Linked DNA regions of Ovis aries. The protein of the gene in region 1 interacts with the protein of each later gene in a biochemical or structural test. Links are inferred from orthologs where the notes say so. Each region holds a gene or a part of one and is shown on either strand. Other genes may lie near its edges.

What was found.
Region 2: the proteins of CD244 (region 1) and INPP5D interact in a biophysical measurement, tested with the Homo sapiens proteins (2 studies listed by IntAct). The link is inferred for Ovis aries from reciprocal best matches to the Homo sapiens genes CD244 and INPP5D.
Region 3: the proteins of CD244 (region 1) and SH2D1A interact in a biophysical measurement, tested with the Homo sapiens proteins (2 studies listed by IntAct). The link is inferred for Ovis aries from reciprocal best matches to the Homo sapiens genes CD244 and SH2D1A.

The regions. Positions count from the first base shown.
Region 1 is NC_056054.1:112,102,571-112,106,319, forward strand, and holds the start of CD244 (natural killer cell receptor 2B4), read right to left. Parts: upstream 2,899-3,749; 5' UTR 2,678-2,898; coding exon 2,617-2,677; intron 204-2,616; exon of another isoform or gene 125-203; intron 1-124. UniProt on the Homo sapiens protein: Heterophilic receptor of the signaling lymphocytic activation molecule (SLAM) family; its ligand is CD48.
Region 2 is NC_056054.1:7,803,739-7,807,387, forward strand, and holds part of INPP5D (phosphatidylinositol 3,4,5-trisphosphate 5-phosphatase 1), read right to left. Parts: intron 1,498-3,649; coding exon 1,301-1,497; intron 892-1,300; coding exon 774-891; intron 1-773. UniProt on the Homo sapiens protein: Phosphatidylinositol (PtdIns) phosphatase that specifically hydrolyzes the 5-phosphate of phosphatidylinositol-3,4,5-trisphosphate (PtdIns(3,4,5)P3) to produce PtdIns(3,4)P2, thereby negatively regulating the PI3K (phosphoinositide 3-kinase) pathways.
Region 3 is NC_056080.1:108,290,944-108,294,692, reverse strand, and holds the start of SH2D1A (SH2 domain-containing protein 1A), read right to left. Parts: upstream 2,194-3,749; 5' UTR 2,019-2,193; coding exon 1,882-2,018; intron 1-1,881.

The DNA.
Region 1 (3,749 bases):
TAGATTAAAGATGACCAAAAAGACACAGCAACTGGAACTTCCCTGGTCCAGTGGTTAAGAATCTGCCTTGCAATGCAGGTGATACAGGTGTGATCCTTGGTTGAGGAACTAAGATACCACGTACCTTGGAGCAACTAAGCCTGCATGTCTCCGATACTGAAACCCGAGAGACCCAACTGCTAGTAGAGAGTTTAGTCCATGCACTGCAATGAAAGATCCACGTGAAGCGAAGAAGATCCTTTGCACCACAAGTGAGACCCAATACAGCCAAATAAACAAATAATTTAAAAAACAGACATAATAACAATGCAATATGTGATCCTGGTTGGATTCTGGATGGGAAAAAAAAGATGTTATATCACACATCTGGGGCTTCCCAGGTGGTTCCAATAGTAAAGAACCCGCCTGCCAATACAGGAGACTAGGAGATGTGGGTTCAACCCCTAGGTTGGGAAGATCCCCTGAAGGAGGGCATGGCAACCCACTCCAGTATTCTTGCCTTGAGAATCTCATGGACAGACAAACCCAATGGGCTATGTCTATAGGGTCACACAGAGTAGGACACGACTTAAGCGACTTAGCAAGCATGCACACAGCACTGGGGGGACATTTGGTAATATTTAAATATGTATTATATATTTGATTGCATTGATGTTAAATTTACTAAATTTTATAACTGTGCTGATATCATGATATGGGGACATTCTTGGTTTTTGAAGATGTGTGCTAAAATAGTTAAGAGTAAAAGGGGGTGATGTCTGCAATTTACCCTTGAATATTCCACAAAAAATTATTATTATTATACAGCTATTCACACATGCATATATTTGGAGAGAAAGAGAAATACAGCAAATGTGATAAAATGTTAACAACTGGTGAATCTAGATGAAGGAAATACAAGAATTCTTTGTACTATTCTTGCAACTTCCCTGAAATGTCAAAATTATTTTAAACTAAGACGTTTAAAAATTGAAACAAATAACTATAGCAGTTTCAGTCAACTTACTCAAGGCCAGCCCCACAGACACAGTGTATAGTAAGAAGAGAGAAAAGTTCCGTAAGGCCCAAGTCCATCCTTTCCAGTGCTCAAAGAATCGCCACCTGGCTTCCCCCTGCAATGGATTTGGCATGGCCGTGCCCAGAGACAGTGCCACAAGGATGGAGGGAGCATCATGTAGGCTCATGATCTCAGAGTCAGCCCGGACCTTCTGTTCCTGCACTCCCAAAGCCAGGCATCAAACCCTGTGGGTCCTACCTTGGCTTTCAAGGTTCTAATCTAGCTTTCTTGCCTGGGATCCTGTATCTTTGGATCCCCGCCTAGCCCACATACATGATCCCCAGGCTCCAGACTTCTCTCTCTGCTCCCTGTTCCTCATCACACCATGCCCTACTCCACCTGTACTCATGCAAATGCCGGAGCCTAGAATCTTCTTCTTGAAGGATATCTGAGTGCCAGGGGCTCAGTGATTGAACTGGGTACCCAGGGACAGCTTGTAACAGGCCCTAAACAAACACTTCCCTGTGCCTCAGTTTCCTCCCTTTGCAACCAAGTGTGCCTTCCTCTCATTCCACCTCCATTCACCATGCCCTGCAAAGAGTTACTGATTTAAAATGCAGGCTCCAAGTTTCAGAGCATCCTAGACAAGGTTGGAGAGAAAGGGGGAGCACCCCTCATTGAGATTCCCTACCCCCTCATTTGTTGGCTCAGGGCCCACCTGAGAGTTTTCAGTTTGTGATGGAACTTCCTAATAGTGTCTCCTTCTCTTCCCTTCCCCGCCCCCTGCCCCCAGCCAAAGTGAAAGTGTTAGTCACTCAGTCATGTTCAACTCTTGGTGATCCCATGGACTTCTGCCTGCCAGGCTCCTCTGTGCACAAAACGCTGCAGGCAGGAATACTGGAGTAGGTAGCCATTCCCTTCTCTTGAGGATCTTCCCAACCCAGGAATCAAACCCCAGTCTCCCTCATTGCTGGCAGATTCTTTACCATCTGAGCCACTAGGAAAGCCCCCAGTCAACATTTCCCTAATAATTCTCAGGCTCACTTGGCCTCTGGGCTGCTGACAGAGTTGATGGAGAGGGACCAGCTCTTGCAAGTAAAGCCTCTGTTCAGGCCTTCATCTCACGCCTCCTATCCCCCTCCCCCACTCCACACCGCCTATCACTTGCCAGGGCTCAACTTTCCTGCCTCAGAGAATAATCTGTCAGTCTCTGAGCTTCAGAACCACTCGACTTCCTTTGAGAAAGTTCATGGCCGCTTCTTCTCTCTTTTGGCAACTGCACCAAATGAGAGGATATTTCATTCTTACAGCCAGCAGAGAGGACACTTTCTCCCCCCTAGACAGAAAGGAAAACTGAAGCTGGTGCGAAGGACTCACCTTGCCAAGGTGGCCTGGATTGTTGATGGCATGGCCAGATGCACACTTCTCAAAGACCTCCCAACCCACTGCCAGCCTTTGCTGTCTGACCCAGCCTGCCCAGAGCTGCAGGGAGCTGCTCCGAGTCACAGGTTCAGGTGACCAGGTAAGCAGCACAATCCGGAGGCTCACATCCTGATTTCCCTGAAGGCCACAGCTCCTGGTCCATGCCAGCCCACCCCTACCAGGCTGGGCCTCCTTACCTTGGCCCTGATGTCCCTTGATGAGCAGGAGGAGTGTGAGGGCAAGCACTTGCCCCAGCATGCCCACAGAACAAATGTAAGAAGCTCACAGAGGGGTCAAGCCAGCTCCCCTCCCACCAGATACTCTGCCCTGCACAAGCTCAGCAGCCACCCATCAGCAGAAGGGTGACAGGGAGCAGAACTCTGTCAGGCTTCAGCCACAATTTCCTCAGCTTGAGGATGTTCTCATCAGCTGAACGCTAGCAGGGTTGTTGAGGAAGCCCCAGTCCCTGGACCTGGTCTGATAGTTCCCACAAGCTAAACTTGCGAAGTTCGCCTCAAGTGGGCGGATGCTCAGAATACACAGTGACTCACAAAACCAACTTAGAAATCTTGTCCTGAGCTCTGCCCCAGCCCAGCTGCTTTGTTTAAAGGACAGATGCCCAAGAAAGTTCCCAATTCTCTGCATCCTACTGGCAATATAGAGAAAACTATATGGGGACCAAACAGCCATTGTGTAAGCCTGTCCAATCCCAACAGACATTGTGAAGATGAAGGACAGAGGGTTTGGGAAGGATGTAGATTGAAAAGTGGATCACTATATAAATAGGTGAAATGCCAAAGGAGACAAGTAAAGGCACTGGAAAAATCTAGCAGCCTGGGGGTTTTCTGAAGGTTGATACCAAAGTTTCAACCTTAAGCACATCCAAATTAAAATGTTTCCATAATAATATCCTTTTGCCTAGCTTCCGATGTACTTTTAAATTCCTTCCCATCCTCTTTTTCTACTTTCCCGTAATAGTTCTTTCTTCTCAGCTTCTCCCACCCAGACTGCATGTAGACCCATTTTTGCTGCCCCCCCCCAACACACACTTTGATCCCACCTTCCAGAAAGGCCAGGCAGCCTTTGACTCTTCACACTGCCATGGAGGGGTGGAGGCATCCCACTTTCCCCAGAACTCAATAGCTTTGAGACCGCACCCAGAGTTCTTTGCCCTTCTTTTTCTTCTGCTTTCCCCTCAGCAGAAAATATTTTCAGTTCCCTTCAGTTCAGCCTTTCTTCTCCTTTTCCATCTGTTGATCCATTTCCAGTCACTGTGTCTGAAGTTGGGCTGAGGGGAGGCAGAATGCAAGACTTGCCTGCCAAAAAAAAA
Region 2 (3,649 bases), about 100 Mb from region 1:
ACTGACACAGACAGACTCACACACACACTCACTGACGGACAGATTCACAAATACACACAGACAGACTGAAAAGACACAGAAAACTCACACACACATTCACATTCAGACTCACATGCTCTCTTACACACACAGACTCACAGATACACACACACACACACACACACACACACACGCAGCCCTCCGCTTCTGTGTCAGTCCTCTGAAGCAGCCTGACCGGTCCCACTGGCTCACGGCTGAGAGCAGCGTTTCCACCTCCGCCTGAGTCTCTCGATCTAGACCAGAGGTCACAACCTACAGCCCGTGGCCGAATCAAGCCTCCGCCTCGTCTGTAGGCACAGTTCTCTAGAACATGGCCGTGCTCTTCCAAGTTCCCGCTATCTGCAGCTGCTCTCGTGTGCTGGCAGCGGGGCTGAGAAGTTGCACATAGCCTGAAAAGACTAACATATTTACTACCTGACCCTTCACAGCACGGCTATTGACCCCTGTCCTTGATCGCTGACACTCAAGGTGGGGTCTGTCAGCCAGCAGCCCTGACACCACTGGGAGTTCGTCAGAAACACAAAACTGTCTGGCTCCTCCTGAGAGGTGCTGAGTCAGAACCGCATTCTGGCAGATCCTCAGAAGCACTGGGGTAGACCCCGAGTGCATGTAGTCTGGGAGGACCATCTGGAGCAAGTGGAGGCTGGGAGGACCACCCATCCCAGAAGGGATAGACACGCGAGTGTGGGCAGAAATGAGCTTACGCAGAACACACCCCCCCCACCCCGGCTCACCCAGCGTGTTGGCGATGCCCGTCTTCACGTTGTCGGTGCAGATGTGGCTGATCCGGTTCTCGTGCTCCGGCTTGGCCAGCACCACGATGCGGATGTTCCAGAGAGTGTGGATGGCGATCTGGAGAGGGGGACAGTGCTGTGACCCTGGGCCAGGACACACTGCTTGACCCCAGAGCAAGGGTTTCACACCCAGCCCTCTCCCTCAGGTGTGGGGCGGCCTGCCGGTCATCCCTATACTTTAGGGGACCCCTAAGGATACTTCACAGGTGATGCAAAGTGTCTTAAAGATAGGGCCAGCACTGACTAGATTTCAAGGAAGTAAAGGTTACCTACAAGCTCGGGCAAGGGAGAGGGACCACACCAGTGATTAGCAATGCCCAGGGACACCATTAATTATTGGATACAGGTGACCTTCTCTGGCCCTGAACGGCAGGGGGACCACTGAGCACACTCTTGCCCCGGAGATGCTCCCAACTTGCCAGGTCCACTGCCCTGGTGTCCCACCCGGGGCCATGGCCCCCACTCACTGTTTTAAAGGTCATGCTGGTGATCTCTTGCAGGGAGTGTTTGAGTATCTCCAGCCACTCCTTCTCTCCCAGGGGGTCCTCCTGGGTCCCGATCACATAGATGTCATGGGGGATATAATCAGCTGAGTCATCCCGCGTCTTTCCCTGCCCCTTGGAGAGAAACCAGGACGTGATCTTCTTGGGAGGGGGGGCGTTACCTTCAACAGCAAAACCCAACACCAAGTGAGTCAAAGGTACATCAGGAGAAGTCAGAACAGATGTAGGGGAAACATGGTCAGGGGTGGGGCAGGGAGGGTCACAAAGTCACTGAAAACCAGTCAGTTTTCAGTGAAACCCAACGAAATACCTTAGGTACAGAGCTAGGTACTATCATGTCCCAGGATGTTACATTGCTTTGTAAAGACAGCATTAAGTTTCAAAGGCTAGAAGCACCCAAAGATTCCACATAGCAACTTGAACTCATAGCATAGATGTCAGCCACTGTCCTAGTCGTTGGGGCTATAGTGGTAACTGGGACACAGGCCTTGAGGAGATTACTCTCCATTGTCTCCATTGAGACAGCACTGTCAACTGACAGGTTTAGGATGGAGCCTTCTAACCCACAGTTAGGAGACAGCAAAGCCCTCATTGCACAGGAGAGGTCTTAGCCAAACACTGAGAGAGGCCATGCAGGAGTCAGCCAGAGGAACCGAAGAGCCTGGAGCCCCTACCCACTGCCCACCTCCACTGCCATTGCAAAAACTGAGCCGAAACAGCTCAGTAAAGAAACAATGATAAAGATTTATTTCCCCTCAAATCTTGGAGGTTGAGTCAACATTTTTTCCCCCAGAGAGAAAACCGTCCTGGCTCACGACTGCCAAGAAGCCAAGAACTGGAGTGACCTGACCTCTGCTCCCACTGTGATTCAGGGTGGGAACATAAGCCCTGGGGCCTGGTGGTCTCTGCTCAGGGAGACCCTCCCAATCTGCCCTAGTCAGTTCCTTCCATGGCGTGTGAAGGGCATGTCTGCAGCTGTTCACCTGGACGGTGCACAGCCAAATCAAAGACTTCCATGCTTGCAGAAGGAAAGAGGGGAAAGGGCCAGGTGCCTGTGGGCACGAAACCCCAGGTGTTAGAGCGGAGGGACTCAGGCGGCCAATAAGAAACAACGGCAGAGAGTGAGGGACACAGGAACTAGGCCAGCATTCTGTTGGGTTGACCAAAAAGTTTGTTCCAGTAAAACCCAAATGAGATTTTTTACCAACCCAATACTTCAGCGTGGCTGTGACTCTTCAGGTTTCTTGGGCATGAAGACCTGGGGAAGCTGAGGCTAGTGCAACCAGGATGGGGACAGCTCTCCTGAGTTCCCTGAGTCCAGCCCATCTTCCACCCAGCGACAGGCCAGGGGTCCCATGCAGCTTTTTCATTCAGATTCCCACTCCTTCTGCTCAGCCACTTCCTCCCAGGTGACTGGTCTACTGTATCGGGAGGGTGGTGGTCCTGATTCTGCTCCAGACCAAAGTGGGGGAGACATGCCCAGTTAAATTCAAATTTCAGATAACCAATGGATACTTTTTGGAATAAGTATGTCCCGTGCAGTATCTAAAATTCAAATTGACTGGAACTTCTGTATCTACTCAATTTTTTAAAATTTCTAATTGAATATTTAAACTAAGTAATTACTTAGTATAATTCATATTAGTGTAAAAATGTGTATTAGCACCTGAGTATACACTATGCATGTTTAGCACAAAGGATATTTGGTGTATATTTGCACTTCTAACTGAACTGTTATACTAAATAATTATTTAGTGTAATTATATTCAGTATACTTACTATAGTATGTTATTGTATTTAAGATATTATATTTGGTATATATTAGTATGTAAATATACATAGCATATATATTTAGCTTAATATATATTTAGTATGTATTTCTGCTTCCCAGGGGGCTCAGTGGTAGAATCCACCTGCCAATGCAGGAGACACGTGTTCAATCCCTAGGTCGAGAAGATCCGCTGGAGAAGGAAATGGCAACCCACTCCAGTACTCATCTTGCCTGGAAAATTCCATGGGCAGAAGAGCCTGGTCGGCTACAGTCCATGGGACAGAGAAAGAGTCGAACACGACTGAGCAATTGAGCACACACAGGTATGTCTTTCTAGCTAAATTCTTATACTAAAAAATATAGTTGTTTGTTGTTTACATGAAATTCAAATTCAGCTGGGCATCATCTTTTTTTTTTCTCTTTCTCGCTCAATAAATCTGGCAGCCCAAATCAAAGAGGTTCCTTCTTCCAGGCCTGAAGCCCCTTGGCGAGTTGCCTAAGGCTGGAAGGTGGCCAAGGGCCCCTTCACCTATTTATTCAAA
Region 3 (3,749 bases), on another chromosome or scaffold:
CCAGGCTGTGTTCCTGGTGCGGGAGATGGTGTCTCTGCCCCAGAGAGATTACATTGTAGCAGGAGAGCCCAGCAAGACAAAAGTAGACAAGCAAACGTCAGACAGCTGAAAGCTCCCAGAAGAAAACTAAAGTGACAGATTATAACTGGGACAGGGAGAAGGGACTTATTTTAGAGGCTAGTCAAGGAAGTCCTCTCTGAGAGAAGAGGGAGAAGGAACAGTTAAGTGTGAAGATCCTAAGCAAGGAGCAGCTTGGCAAGCTCGAGAAACAACAAAGAGGCCAGTGCGTCTGAAGTCTTAGGAACATCCTGCCACACACTGTCCCCGGCTCTTCCTTCCCTTCCCAGGCCTTTTGTACCTTAATTTTTACCTCTAGGTTGAGGGTCCCATTACCTCCTTTGGTGAGCTTTCCTAAAGAAGCTCCTCTCACCAGTTCACTCACTCCTCCACCTTCTATTGATAAGAAAAGAGCCTAGGAATACGAGTTGGCTTTCACTGACCTACCCCAGTTTTCACTTTCGAGAAACAATAATATAAGGAAAACCTAAAATCTGAGCCCAAGGGATTCACTAGCTTGCACATATATCCCTTGTAGCTTTTATAACAAACGTTTTTAGCATGGCCTGAGAGTTGCCACAAATATGCCTTGCCCATTTAAAAATAATACAATAAACAATGAAAATCCTCTAACACCAGGCTCAATACAATCTCTCATCAATGACCTAAAGGAACTTCAAAATCTTGCCATGTATCATCAGACACCAAAATTACAACCAAGCATTTTCCCTCATTTTGTTTCTGTCTAGAAGCTACTGTACAGGGCTGCTGCTTTCATGAGTGTTTTTACCCTGCTAACAAAGAGTGATTGAGCTAGGGACTTCCTTAGAAACACCCCGTGAGTACTTAAAGATATTGACTGAAATATATATACATTTTATATATATATATAATATATTATAATAAAAAGTACTGAAAGAGAGTGAAAAAATAATAACAACAACAGCTTACTTTTACTGAACACTTAGTATGCATCAGGTCCAGTGCTAAATTTTCTACGTGCATTACAGCATTTAATGCTCAGTCCTATGAGGTAGGTAGTAATATTACACTTTTTGGACAAGAAAACTGAGGGACTGTGAGGTTAACTTGCCAAAGCCAGCATCAGACTAGCACAAGATTAGGTCTTAGCTCTGCCTGACCCTGGAGCCCTGGAGCAAAGATGAAGGTGCATCTGATTCAAAATGGGGCTTTAGACCAAGAGATGCTTAGGTAAAGGGCAAAGCTGAATCATACCAGGGTGCTTTCCCTCCATGTCCTTTACGACTATTGTCTCTCCCAGCGTTTATCACGGAAAGGCCCTATTTCTGAAACCCCACCCCACCCCCCTCCAACTCCTGTAAAGAAAGCTAATTAAGCAAATCCAGAGAGGTGGTTTTATTCAGAAACGTCCCTCTCTCCCACATCCTGACCTAACTGGTATTGCTGTCTTAAAGGATTCCATTTCTTAGTCTTCTTCCTCTCCTTGAATTTGAAATCTTCCTTTGGGAAGATACCTTCAAAGCCATTGCCAGAGGGCTGGAGAGAAAGGCCTCTCCTCTGAGGAGCTGGTGGCCCTATATCTGGCCATTCCCTCATCCCAGGCCTCCACCTTGCTGGCCTCTACCAGAGGTCCAACCTGAAGCCAGGAGCCTGAGTCCTTTTGGCAGCAAAGGTAAATTCTAGGCTCCTTTTCCTCCACTGCAAAGAGCATTCCTACAGCCGCCCCCAAAGGCGCTGGAGAAGACCCTCTGAAGAGCAGGAAGCCCAGGCGAGACAACCCCAGTGAGGGACGTGAGCCGCACGGTGGGCAGTGGGGGCTCCAGGGCCCCGTCATGTACTCACAGCACACACAGACAGTACACGCCGGGAACACTCTCGCTGTCCCTCAGCAGATAGCTGCCATCCAGGCCCGTGGCGAGCAGGAGCTTCTCCCCCGTCTCCCGGCTGATCTTGCCATGATACACAGCCACCGCGTCCATGGCCAGGGGACAGTAGCAGGGAAAGGCCGCTGTTGCTGCTGCCGCCGCAACCAGGCACGACTCAGCCACCTGCCTCCCTGTTCAGCCAGATGTTCAAAAAAGAGAAAGGAGCGCCCCAACAACAGGATGTTGTCTACCTGCCTCACAGCCTCCTTCTCGCACTTCAGTGAAAACCAGGTCAGCAGTTTAGCAGCTTGGCTACTGCCCTAGGGTTCAATTCCCCCCTCCCCTCTCTGCTCCGCCTCTGCCACAAAAGGGTTGGGGTGGATGGATGGACAGAGAGGGGAGGACTATTGGAAGAAGGTCCTTGCAGGATGTGGCCTGTGCTCCCAATGCATGCAGACACGAATGCCTGGTAATGTTTCTGTCCTTGTAGTTTTCCCAGGAAGGCCACCCTGACTTAGCTTAAATAGTCCCCAAAGGGGTTAATGAGACAGGGAAGCCGTGTTGATCTTCATGTGGGGCAGAAACATACTGACAGAGAATGAAAGGCCCAAAAGCTCTGAGACCAAAACACAGAGGTCATCAGTATTGTCAGTGGGTGATCCCCACTGAGCACAGGCAGGAGGCTCCTAGGGAATCAGAGGCAAGAAGTGAACAGCGGACTTGGGATCCACTGCCTCCCCTCCCCAAACCCTCCCCCTTCTCTTTGACTCCTCCTAGTCATCTCCAGCAATCTTGATCCTGAACAAATCAAACATTTCCAGGCTTCTTGTCCAAGATCCCAAAGTGCTGGTTGAGGTACAAAAATCAGTCTGTGTCCAAAGATGTTCCAGATGTATCTATTTGATGGGCCTTAGATGAGAGAATAAATCATTTCATTGGTGTTTTGCCTTCATGCGGACTTGTCTGTGCCTTTTGACATACAGGGCCTACCTTTTAGCATTTGGGACATCAAACTTAAGTCCATTGTGAGTGTTGATAATTGCGTTGTATCTTTTATCATCTGTAGTTAGTAGAGAATATGGTTTTTGTTCAATTGATGCTAAGCTATCAAATTTTTTAGAACCTTTCAACCTTTGTTTCCTTCTCTCTTGTATTTCAAGATGTGCTGTTAAGTAATATTTCCCCCAAACTTCCTCATTTTTCACTAGAACGAGACCTTGTTTAATGTTTGAAGCTGAATGCTCTTCTACATTTTTTCTTTTGAGTGTGTAACATACTTTTCTTTTTCTTTTTAGATTGTTTTTGATGTAGACCATTTTTAGTCTTTATGGAAGTTTTTATAATATTGCTTCTGTTTTATGCTTTGGTTTTTTGGCTGCAAGGCATCTGGGATCTTAGCTTCCCATGCATGTATGCTAAGTCGCTTCAGTTGTGTCCAATTCTTTGCAACCCTGTGGACTGTAGCCCACCAGGCTCCTCTGTCCATGGGATTCTCCAGGCAAGAACAGCGGAGGAGATTGCCATGCCCTCCTCCAGGGGGTCTTCATCAAACCCACACCCCCTACATCAGAAGGTGAAATCTTATACCACTGGACCACCAGGGAAGTCCCTGTAAAATACTTTTTAAAATTAAAATTTAAGTAGCTGAAATTATGTTGTCTGTTGTGTCTCTTCAACAATGTCACACCTAGTTCCTTGAGAGCCTGGCCCATCTGGGACCCCAATAGGGAGAACAATTTTTAAATCCTCACTAGTCCTACCAATGGATCAGATGTTGCAAAGCTGCCTTACACCAAAAGCCAGATATTTGCCATCCACTAGGGTTGAAAACAACTCTCTACCATT